Zea mays: one gene and its partners. The protein of the gene in region 2 binds, or shares a complex with, the protein of the main gene of each other region. Links are inferred from orthologs where the notes say so. Each region holds a gene or a part of one and is shown on either strand. Other genes may lie near its edges. The genes, in order: Probable chlorophyll(ide) b reductase NYC1, chloroplastic; pheophorbide a oxygenase, chloroplastic; 7-hydroxymethyl chlorophyll a reductase, chloroplastic.

Region 1 (3,751 bases), on a different chromosome or scaffold from region 2:
CTACATAACCCTAGAGCGAACCGGACCAGCGTTGCAGCTGTCACTCTACTTTTGCTCTGGGTCCGACCCACTGACTCAAAGCCCGACGAGCTAGGACGATCGTCGATGGTTCAGTGCACGTACGTTTGCCGTGGCACTCCCGCGCGCGCACGCCGCAGCCAACTCAACCGATGGATGGACGGTCAAACCAAGCAGGCGAACGGAGTCGGCAGCACAGCCACAGCGCTGAGTCACCTCCTCGCGTGCGTTTGCGTGCCGGACTAACGGGAGTTGCGTTGCGTGCACGTGTTTATTTGCTCTAATAACCGCGCACGCTTGGCGTCGCCGTACGTGTAACAGGAATTTTTTGCCACTAATGTGCATCTGCAAGTTTTGTCCTGTCGTAAACACCAGATGATGCTGCCGAACACGTACGAGTTGCGTTTAGGGAAAAAAATTTGTTGCAGCCCGGCTGCAAACCAGGCTGTTTGCAGCCCCTCACAAAAAGGTGGATAGGCCCCACCTGCAGGTCCACCAGATAACGTTTTAGTTGTATTATTTACCTGCGGGTGGGACCTATCCTCCTTTTTGTGAGGGGCTGCAAACAGCCTGGTTTGCAGCCGGGCTGCAACAAATTTTTTTCCTGCGTTTAGGGTTTTGGACGACGACGAAACATTGGCATCCGGGGGGGCTCGGAGGTCCCGTGCAGATCTCGTTCGCAGACAAATAAAAATATAACATGGGCCAAAATGCTCAAACGACACGTACGTACGCGTTTACAAGTATCTGTCTAGGATTCTGAGATATTTCTTCGACGATTCTGAGATACTTGATTTTTTTGCTGACATCTGTGTGCTAGCCCTGGTCCGAGCTCTATCTCCGTGTCCGTGGAATGGACTGGACAGGGACTCGGTGCAGCCGCATCCGCCCAGCGCTGGGGACCCTGAAGCCAAAGCGAACGGCCACGTGGCGCCTATCCGCGCGAATGGGACGGATGGATGAGGTTGCAGCAGCGTGTGGCCGCCGGCCAGTTCATCTGAGCCCAAAGAACTTCACAAACCAGTCCAGGGTCCTTTCTGCAATAACCTGAAGAAGCTACGATTATTATATTTATTCACTGGTAAAGCCCAGTGGAGAGCACACGCCTCTTCTCCCCCCCCAAAAAATCCAGCAGCAGCAGCAAGCCCCACGCAACATTAGCAGCAGGAGACCACCCCAATCCCCCACGGACATTCGCCGCGAACCCTTATCTGCACGCCGCGCCATGGCCGCCGCCGCCGCCGCCGCGGTCGCCCACCTCTCCATCCACGGCCGCCTCCGCCGCTCACCGGAGCATCGGCCGTCCATCACCACCACCACCACCTCCTCCTCTTCCTCGTCCGCTCACCGCCCGTCCCTGCTGCGGTGCCGCGCGTTCAAGCAGGAGGCCGGCGACGGCGACCCGGCTGAGGCCGACGCGCGGAAGCGCAGGAAGGGCCCGCTGTACAAGCTCAAGGCGGCGATCCAGGGCCTCGCGGGATCCCGCTCCGCCGCCGCCGAGGTGTACGGGGGAGAGTACCAGTACCAGCGCGCCGTCGAGAAGGCGGAGGAGATATTCTTCTCGGTGAGCACCGCACCGGCCTCCGCTCGCGAATCCTTGCGGCGTGCCCCCCACCCTCACCAGTCACCACGCTTATCTGTTTGCTCACACACACACCTGAATGAATTGCCTAACTATGCTGGAGTACTACTATCAGGAACGCAAATAAATGTCCAGTGCTCGCTAATTACAGCCTTAGTACCTTAAACCGTGGCATCATGAACAAACAAGGGTTTGTTCATTGTTGCATGTGATCCAGGCTTGCAGTCCACCATACCAAGTCGTATATTTCTCTTATTCCATTTCTCCTGTGCATAAGGGTTTCTTATATGTTTGCTGATCTCAGTCACCTTCTCGCAGGTTACTACTCAGCTAGGCAGATATGTTATCACTATGATGAGCAGCGGTGTTGTACTTGGGGTTGGATTCCAGCTGTCAGGTTTGCCATACGTTTATGCCTCTCGTTTCATTTCACTCTTGGCCTTTTCCTGAAATTCCAATTTAATTAGACGGACTATTTTTTTTAAACCCCTCACCCAGGTGGAGACAGCCAAATGAACGAACTAATTTGGTATAGCTGGCTTGGTGGGGTGATTATCGGCACAATGATAGGTGCAAACAGTGTCCTAGAGGAACACTGCAAAGCTGGACCTCGCAATGTCGTCATAACTGGAAGGTACCTTGTTTCCATCCTTCGTTCAAGATGCCTTCTGCAAAATTTTCCAGGACTCTGTATGCACCATTTTTCAATTTTCATTTATTAGCTGACTTGCCCTGTAAGAAAAGTATTGCACAGCATATTATTGATAGCATATGAAATCACTCTAGAAAACAGAAACTGTCGAGGTTAATGGATTTAGCTACTTAAGAAGGAAATAAAGTTTGGCTGTGTTTTTCAAGTTTTTGCAGTTTCACTGCTCACGGCCATTGGATAGGTTATTTCATACTGTTGTTTCTTATTTCGGCAATTAGCATTGACATCAGTTTTTTTTTTTTTGTTATAAAAAAATTCCAGCACAAGAGGGTTAGGAAAAGCGCTTGCTCGTGAGTTTCTTCTTTCTGGAGACCGTGTTGTAATTACTTCACGAAGGTGATATTCATGAGAACTTTAGTCTAGTTCTACAAGGTTTCATACTTTTTCCTTATGGAGCTTTATGCTTTATTTTAGTTTTAAATATTTTCTTTTTGTGATGGCAGTCCTGAATCAGTCCTTCAGACTATAAAAGAACTTGAAGAGAACATACAGGAAGGGTTATCTGTTGCCAAAAAGAAGCAGAGGAATATTCTATCGCATGCCAAGGTTGTTGGTACAGATTGTGATGTCTGTAAACCTGAAGATGTGAAGGAGTTAGTGAATTTTGCTATTAATGAGCTTGGTTCAGTTGATATTTGGGTAGGTAATTCATTACAGTTTTGTAGCTTAAATCTATATCTTATTTGGTCTACCTTTTGTTTTGCTAAAGAAATATTTAAGTAAAGTTGGATTATACAGAGTTTATAACATTTACATCAGTTGTGAAATGTACTTTATATATATGATGACATTAAGATAGATTTTGTGGTGCCCACTTTTATGCTTTTCTGTATGGTTCTATGGCTACATCAAAGAAGAATATTATTTACCACTTCTTCTCCAACCTTGTGTGCAGATAAATAACGCTGGCACAAATAAAGGTTTTAGGCCATTGGTAACCTTTTCAGATGATGACATCACTCAGGTTCGTTATTGTTATATTATGTTGTGTTTTTATCATTTTTTATGTATGTATCATTGATCAGAGGACCTGGCTTAATCATGCTACCTTATTTCCATCTTTTTATTAATTTATTCTGATCTATTTCATGTTGTTACAGATCGTCTCAACAAACCTAGTTGGTTCTCTACTGTGCACCAGAGAAGCCATGAATGTCATGCAATACCAAGAGAAGGGAGGCCATATATTCAACATGGATGGAGCAGGTTCTGGAGGATCAAGCACACCACTAACAGCTGTGTAAGCATCTTAGCTTTCGAATACTCTGTTGCTTCTTTATAGCTTCTACTGTATAGATGTGTGTTTTTTGTTGCTAAAACTTGAGTGTCCTGTATTGGAGTTCTTTATGTTATGAAGCGAGATCTGATGCTGAACTCAAATTTGTAGCTATGGTTCAACTAAATGTGGACTAAAGCAGTTCCAAGGATCACTTCTGAAC
Region 2 (3,751 bases):
GATGCATCATGAGTCAATTCCTTAAATTTGGTTGAATGACCCCATTCTTCATACTAGTACTAACTACTAGTCTGAGGAATGATGTGATAATGCACTGACCAACCTACTCCATTCAACAAACCAAACAAAGAAAAGAGGAATGAGTGGGTGAACTAACTAATCCCTCAAACCAAACACCCTATTAATGCCTGTTCAGACTAAGCAAGTAGCGTAAGTAAAAAAGAATAAAACTATGATGCAAAAATATATATGGGTGCATCCACAGTTAAGATCTAACAGTTAGGGTTTGGTTCCTTTAGTCCAGGGACGAAAGTTTAGTTAGAAGACTAAAATTTAGTCCCTACCCTGTTTGGTTCTAAAAACTATAAGTATTCAAAACACATTAAATGAATCATAAGAAGACCAAAATACTCCTTAACATCCTCCCGCCATTAGTGCAACTGAAATGAAGGAGGGCCAAAAAGTGGATTTTTATGGTTTAGCCCCTTAGAGTCATCCCTTGAGGGACTAGAGACTAGAACAGTTTAGTCCTTGTTTTAGTCCCACCGTTTGTCAATTTATGGACTAAATGGGACTAAAATGGAGGCACTGATATTTAATCCCTCAAACCAAACGGGACCTTAGTTAAACTTGCACGCTGGCAATCAGAAACGATAAGAGGCCAGACTCAGACCATTCAGCCCTTTTGCCCATTATAAGTCATTTCTGAGGAATTTCAATGCAGCATAAGTAAAAAAGAATAAAACTATGATGCAAAAAAAATATATGGGTACATCCACAGTTAAGATCTAACAGTTAGTTAAACTTGCACACTGGCAATCAGAAACGATAAGAGGCCTACACAATTAAACAGTATTGAGGTGGTGATTTTTTAGCAAACTACACAAATTGGTTGCAACAAAACATCTTTCCTCGAATCACCAACTTTCAACTGAAAAATACTATCATGGTGCTTAAGTGTGGCAAGCAACTAAGCTTTCTCACTGTACCAAGTACCTTGTGGTGAGCAAATTCTATATGGGACGGATCAGAGACGTTCTCCATCAACGTATCATAACCATAGAACAAGTCCCTCTGGATTGTCACCGTGGAGAAGGCCGGGTCCTCAAATTCTTTCGGCAACCTGAAACCAAACAAGATCGAATTCAGACACCGAAATGCAAAACTGAATCCAACCAATTAGCCGCAGTCCAAAGTCTGACTCTACGCACATTGGAGGCTTGGTGGCGGCCGCTTTCTCCCACCCATTCTCATCGGGCCACACGAAGAGCAGCCCCTGGGAGACGAGGGTGGGGAACTTGATCGCGCACGCCTTCGGTGACCGCACCGCACGGGCCTCAGGACCCTCGGGCATGGCCTGGGGGATCTTGGTGCAGGCGCCGGAGCCATCGAATGACCATCCGTGATACGAGCACTGCAAGCACCCCGTCTCATCGATCCTGCCCTCCTGCACATGCCCAGACCAAAATTAGCCGAAACGAGGAAGAGATCCGGTAGGACACGGATGAGGCGAGGAAGGGATGCGGGTCGCCGTACCGAGAGCGGGGCAAGGCGGTGGGGGCAGCGGTCGTCGAGCGCGACCCACTCGCCGGACTTGGGTTCCTTCCAGATGACGAGGTCGCGGTTGAGGAGCTGGAACGGGGTGGGGCGGCTGGGGTCGAGGTCCTCGACGAGGGAGACCGGGTACCAGTGATCCCTCCACGAGAACTTCTCGCCGGACTCGGGCGCCGACGTGCTCGGCTCCGCCTGCTCCGCCGCTTCCCCTGGGACGGACGTCGGCGCCGCCACGCGGAGGCGGGTCCGAGAACGACCGCCCACGCGGAGGCGGCCTCCAGCCAGCGGCACGGCGAGCGAGGGGAGCCGCGGCGTCACCAGGAGCGACAGGGCTGGGATTGTCGCGCGCATATTCTCCCCGCACGTGTCGACGTGAAGTGAAGTGAAGAGGTTTTGGCTTTCGCGTTGGGAATTCTTCGCCGCGCTGGCTATATGCTTGGCGGCCGGAGTCGGTGGTTGGAACGGTGCAGATCTTCTAGACTGGGCAAGAACAGAGTTCTGCCACGGCAACGGGGAGAAACCTGGTTTTGGCGCAAGAAAACCAGTGGACAAACAAGAAAATTCCGGGATTTTCCCACGCTGGGGAGTGAACGCGAGGGAAGAACTAGTAGGGCTGGGCAAAAAACCCGTAACCCGAAACCCAAACCTGGAATACCCGAACCCGAACCCGAAATACCCGAAACCCGAATTTTGTTTGGGAATTTCGGGTAGCAACTTGCAAAACCCGAAATTATTTCGGGTAATTCGGGTATCACAATCGGGTACCCGAAATACCCGAATTACCCGAACTTTCATGTGTCATGTACTCATGTCATGCTTAATAATTAATTTGTACATCTATAATTATGTGTAAGTGTGCATAACTTGGGATTGTAGATTGTTTGTGTTTTATATGTCCATGTATATCATTATTCAAACTATATTTTTATACTAATTTAATAGGGTGTATGTGTTTTTATGAAGCCAACACAATAGTTCGGGTAGTTTGGGAATACCCGAACCCGAACCCGAAATTCCGGGTACCCGAAATTCCGGGTATTGAAAAATCCGTTGTAATTTCGGGTATTGATTCTCAAAACCCGAAATTTAAAAAACTTGAATTACCCAACCCGAAAATTTCGGGTAACCCGAACGCCCACCCCTAAGAACTACTGATACGGTTCGGCTAGGGAGAATACATTGTACACATGGTGAGCGCAGTGTGGTTGCGTCACGGCAGGGAAGGGAGGAAGGGCGGGGAAGGAGGACAATTGTACGCGACCACGCATGGCGCTTTGCGGCATTTGTGCGGTGGAGCTTGCATTGGGCCAGCTAGCCGTCCCCACCGGGACGAATGCGCCGCGCGGAGGGGAGACCTGACCGGCGGTGAGAACGACACGAACCCACCCGTGGGCCGTGGCGGAATCCACCCCGCCGGATGTTTGCAATTCGCATCTTGCTGAGTAGCTACAAAGTTGAATAGATCAAATTCGAATTTGTTTACCAGTTCTACTACTACTTCCGTCCCTCAACCTATAGTAACCATTATAAGAGCATCTCAACTCATTTCAAAAAAACTTTCTAAATTCAGATTTAGCGAGCTGCTAAATATATACTGAAAAAACTGTCAAATCAGTTTTTCTAATTATTACTTGGAATTTTAAATTTAGTTTCATTTGTATGGTAAAGCTATCTTTAGACTTGTCAAATGAGGATGGTACATTTATAATTTTCGCGGCTTAAATCATTTAAAGTGTGTCACTTGTATACGAGCGCGATCCCGATGGTAGGCAAGTGAGTTTGCGATGCAGTTGACAAGCAAAATAGTTTATATGTAGATCTGGTTTAAATGTGATAATTATTTAAACATGTTCTAATAATACTAACTATAAAATAAGTCGACATATTTCAACTGATATCATTTAAATACTAAGGTAGTCATGCTATTTATCCGTAATAGTTTAAACCATGGTCCTGTTTGGTATAATTTTTTTTCTAAAGAATTTTTTTAAGAATCTAAATTTCTAGATAATCTAGCTGGCACGAGAATATAAATATCACGAGACTTGCGTTTGGAGAAAGATGAATATGTGTGCATGGTTTAGGTTTTAGAACGATGGAGTCTTCCTATCGTGACGACTTAAAGAAATATACATTCATATTGATTTAGATAGTTTTCACAGAAATGATACTCACATGAGCGGCCAAAAAAACAAAG
Region 3 (3,751 bases), about 200 Mb from region 2:
ACTGGTTTGAGAGGAGAAATGGAAATTACCACAGTTTGTTCCAAGCACATAAAGCTTTTCCAAACCAAGGTACTTTTCTACAGATCTCAAAGCTGTAGTTCAAACAATAACTTTAGCAACTTTTACTTTTACATTTGATAAAACATCAGCAATAGAAAGAGAAGAAAGGCCAGGTAAAGGAAAAGACCTTGCACTTGACAGCCCACACCGCAGAAAAGAAGCCGCTTTACACCAGCTGCCTGCCAAAGGAAACTGTGAAACTCTCTGGATTTATAAACTGGTCACTATAGGATATCATATGTATTGTTATGGTTGGAGGGATGATTGGAATAGGCTTTGGAACCCACTAGAATGTGGGGCTACTCCAGATTTAATAGGCTAATAGAATTACATTTGCGGTCTTGCCAAGCAACAAATTCAAATATAATTGAACTACTTCTAATTCTCTTGAATTGGGAAATGGGAACGAATATCTGGATCAATTAACCCTAAATTAATATTAGGACAGCTGATTCTCTCTGACTCTCAGAGATCTGCTGATATGACCCATTATTACTTCTATATGTTATAAGAAAGGGAAAGGAGGCATGGCACCATAGCTTGCATCAAGAATAAGGGGGCATGGGAAGTATAGAGTTAAAAGGAGCGACTTACCTCGACTAAGGCAAGTGTATTGAGATTTGGTGATAATGTTGGCTTCACACCTTTGGCTGCAATTACTTCGTCTGGTGTCCTACAAGAGCATGGCTACTGAGATTAAATGTCACTTCCATTCTAGAAATCAAGGGACATAATGATTAGCATGAGTAATTCATGGATGGACTGATAACAAAAGTTTAAGCTCAAAATAGTTACAGAAAGTCTGGAATTGCAAAAGTATATCCAGTCAAGGAGTGTTATACACAAGCCATAAAGGACAATTCTGAAAGCCATCAGTTTCACAATACCTGGCCAAAACAGGTCTTGGAGCAAGCCTGTCGTCAGGATCACTGCAGAGGGGGTAAAAAACATTATTTGAATCCATGTGGTAATGCTTGTGCATAGCACTGAGAAAGAATGATGTGGCATTTGATTCTTGTTTGGGTGCCTTTGTACACAAACCACAGCATCAACCATGTTTGCTTTCAGCATCTCGACAGCGATTGTTGTCACTATTCCCGTCCACTGGGCTCCTGTTGCATGTGAGGCACATATATGTTACAGGGTACAAAACATAAGTCGTCAGGGTACAGTTTTGTCTAACAAAGGTTTGTTGAGTATATCAAGATAGTGTAGGAAATAAGATGCAACATTCGAGGTGTATGTGGTTTCGGTTTGTTATGGAAGGGCAGTGAACAAGACTGGTATATTGCATATGTGTGCTTCCTTAGATGGATGCAGGCGGTTGTTGAAGGATAAGAACAACTTGTAAAAGGTAATTAGTACCTTCAACAGGTTCGGTCTTCCTGGCATACAAGAGTTGGTCATAGACTCCAAAGTACATTTCATCCATGCCTTCCTTCCGGCCTCTCCCGTGGACTTGTCGCTCAAGATCCTAAATATAGTGAGGAGAGTGTTGGCATCTGTAAATTTGTGTCAACTTTTTTTAGGAAACAGGAGAGTTCCCCGCTTTATTTCACTGAAACAAAGTGTAGAATTCATGTCGAGCATTACTACTCCCTCGGTCTAAATTATAGTTCACTTTAGCTTTATTCTAAATCAAAACTTCTTTTAACTTTGACTTGACCTAAGTATTTTATAAAAAAATATACTCCCTCTGTATATGTTCAAATAAACTATCAAGACATTTTTCACGAAGAAATTGATGAAATCATTTTGATATTGTAGATGGTCTCTATGAACTTGGTCAGAGTTAGAAAAGTTGAACTATAACTTTCGACGGAGGGAGTAACTGCGTGCAGCACTGCAGCCCATGGCTTGATCAAACATCAGACGATCATTTTTGTTTTCATTCAGCAAACTGTTTGAGCCGTTCTAGGCAGGTGATGTGATGCGAAGATGAAGGGAGGTGACCTCGACACGGGACATGCCGTCTCCCAGGAAGGCACAGGCAGTCTTGACATGCGCAACGTAGTATGTGTCGCAGAGCCCACAACGGCTTGAATCGCCATACGAGTAGAAATAGGAACAGAGGTAAGCATCGCATATTCGCATCACATAAACACACAAACAAACAAAGAAATGCGCAGCACAGCAGGCATATACCTGCAGTGGTCCTTGGCAGGGTAGACGGCGCCAGGAGGGATGGGCTTGGATTTCTGCCTCCAGTCCTCCCTGACCGCCTTGGCCCTGATCTTGCGCGTTCTCTCGGACCTGGAGGACGAGGAGGAGGCGAGGGAGGGTCGGCGGAGTCCAGGAGACGAGGACGAGGGCGACGAGGCGTGCAAGCAAAGGGAGAGGGAGGTGCTGGAGGCCATGGTGGCGGAGATCGTCTCACCTCAGTACCTCACCGGTGATAAGACGGAGGATCGAGTGGAGATGGAGGAGTCATGCCTTGAGCCTTTAAGAGAAACTACTGTTACTGGGCCACCTCATGAATTTCGGCTCATGTCCACCCTTTGAGGAAAATTCGGAGCCTGCAAAATGTCCACCCATCGATGCATAGTGCATCTTTTTGGTTTTCATATTTAAAAATATTCAAAATTCAACACTATACCCCGGATAAAAAGTTAACAGAAATTATGCCGCCCATATATGTATTTTTTTACTTCGTAGTCCCTCCTTTTGGTGGGACGACGATCCGTACTCTTAGATTGTCTTCAACACCTTACTCATCATATCTCATATCTCAACCGCTATTTTAAACTTAACTCTTATAAACAGTAGTATACAATATAAAATAATTTTTTACGCGATCATATATATGACTAGGTTCATGCCCATGCGTTGCTACGAAAGTAAAAAAAATAGTATAAAACATAGATACGAAACGATAAACAACATTATGATATGCAAAATCTATGTGGCAAAATATCACTGTAAAACTATTATATTGGCGAGATAAATATGTAATCTTATTATAGCTAATTGCACGTGCGTTGTTACGGTTTCTATATATCAAACAATTAGACTTTATTTTAACAAATCACGAAAACATGTGGGTTCTGTTGGTTAGATGAAGGTGGATGTACAACAAACAAATATTCAAACCACTACCTATTGATAGACTTTGTTTTACAAAACACAAAATATATATCTTCTGTTGGTTAGATGGGTGTGGATGTAAATCCAATAAAGGCCCAAACTACTATTTATGTGTAATTGTACCTAATTTTTGCATAAAGTAGTAATTTTATCTAATTTTTTCATAAAGTGGTAAAGATGACCACTATTTATGTGTAATTGTACCTAATTTTTGCATAAAGTAGTAATTTTATCTAATTTGTTCATAAAGTGGTAAAGATGATCTACGTTGAAACCAGAAAAACTAAGCATTCTTTTTTGCCTTAGCAGAATCTATCAGCACACATCACGCGATTCCAGTCCACCACGTATATATGGAGCAATAGCTTGCCAGTGAACTCATCTCTCGCATGTTATTTCACTCTTCAGTTTAAAATCTGATAGATTGTTTGAGCTAACTCGAGCTCTGCTTCAGATGTTTTGTAGTTAAAATCTGACACGAGACATATATCATATGCAATGGGCACAGATTCTGAATCCTTCCATGTGTTACACATTCTCACAGCGAAGCACAAAACACATGATGTACAATGCACACAGATCTCCCAGGTAGCTAATGACTGCAGAA

Evidence for each region.
Region 1: pheophorbide a oxygenase, chloroplastic (region 2) and Probable chlorophyll(ide) b reductase NYC1, chloroplastic share a complex: the UniProt entries of both Arabidopsis thaliana proteins name them as parts of the SGR1-CCE-LHCII complex. The link is inferred for Zea mays from reciprocal best matches to the Arabidopsis thaliana genes ACD1 and NYC1.
Region 3: pheophorbide a oxygenase, chloroplastic (region 2) and 7-hydroxymethyl chlorophyll a reductase, chloroplastic share a complex: the UniProt entries of both Arabidopsis thaliana proteins name them as parts of the SGR1-CCE-LHCII complex. The link is inferred for Zea mays from reciprocal best matches to the Arabidopsis thaliana genes ACD1 and HCAR.

Annotation. Positions count from the first base shown.
Region 1 is NC_050098.1:2,270,114-2,273,864, reverse strand, and holds the start of Probable chlorophyll(ide) b reductase NYC1, chloroplastic, read left to right. Parts: upstream 1-1,078; 5' UTR 1,079-1,243; coding exon 1,244-1,582; intron 1,583-1,918; coding exon 1,919-1,997; intron 1,998-2,098; coding exon 2,099-2,234; intron 2,235-2,573; coding exon 2,574-2,648; intron 2,649-2,755; coding exon 2,756-2,951; intron 2,952-3,207; coding exon 3,208-3,276; intron 3,277-3,412; coding exon 3,413-3,552; intron 3,553-3,699; coding exon 3,700-3,751. UniProt on the Arabidopsis thaliana protein: Involved in chlorophyll b degradation. Belongs to the chlorophyll catabolic enzymes (CCEs).
Region 2 is NC_050096.1:10,195,593-10,199,343, reverse strand, and holds the start of pheophorbide a oxygenase, chloroplastic, read right to left. Parts: upstream 2,170-3,751; 5' UTR 1,906-2,169; coding exon 1,537-1,905; intron 1,448-1,536; coding exon 1,212-1,447; intron 1,124-1,211; coding exon 997-1,123; intron 1-996. UniProt on the Arabidopsis thaliana protein: Catalyzes the key reaction of chlorophyll catabolism, porphyrin macrocycle cleavage of pheophorbide a (pheide a) to a primary fluorescent catabolite (pFCC). Works in a two-step reaction with red chlorophyll catabolite reductase (RCCR).
Region 3 is NC_050096.1:206,311,112-206,314,862, reverse strand, and holds the start of 7-hydroxymethyl chlorophyll a reductase, chloroplastic, read right to left. Parts: upstream 2,522-3,751; 5' UTR 2,418-2,521; coding exon 2,206-2,417; intron 2,099-2,205; coding exon 2,014-2,098; intron 1,535-2,013; coding exon 1,426-1,534; intron 1,173-1,425; coding exon 1,088-1,172; intron 990-1,087; coding exon 948-989; intron 734-947; coding exon 655-733; intron 240-654; coding exon 188-239; intron 93-187; coding exon 30-92; intron 1-29. UniProt on the Arabidopsis thaliana protein: Probable iron-sulfur flavoprotein that converts 7-hydroxymethyl chlorophyll a to chlorophyll a using ferredoxin as a reducing equivalent. Catalyzes the reduction of a hydroxymethyl group to a methyl group. Belongs to the chlorophyll catabolic enzymes (CCEs).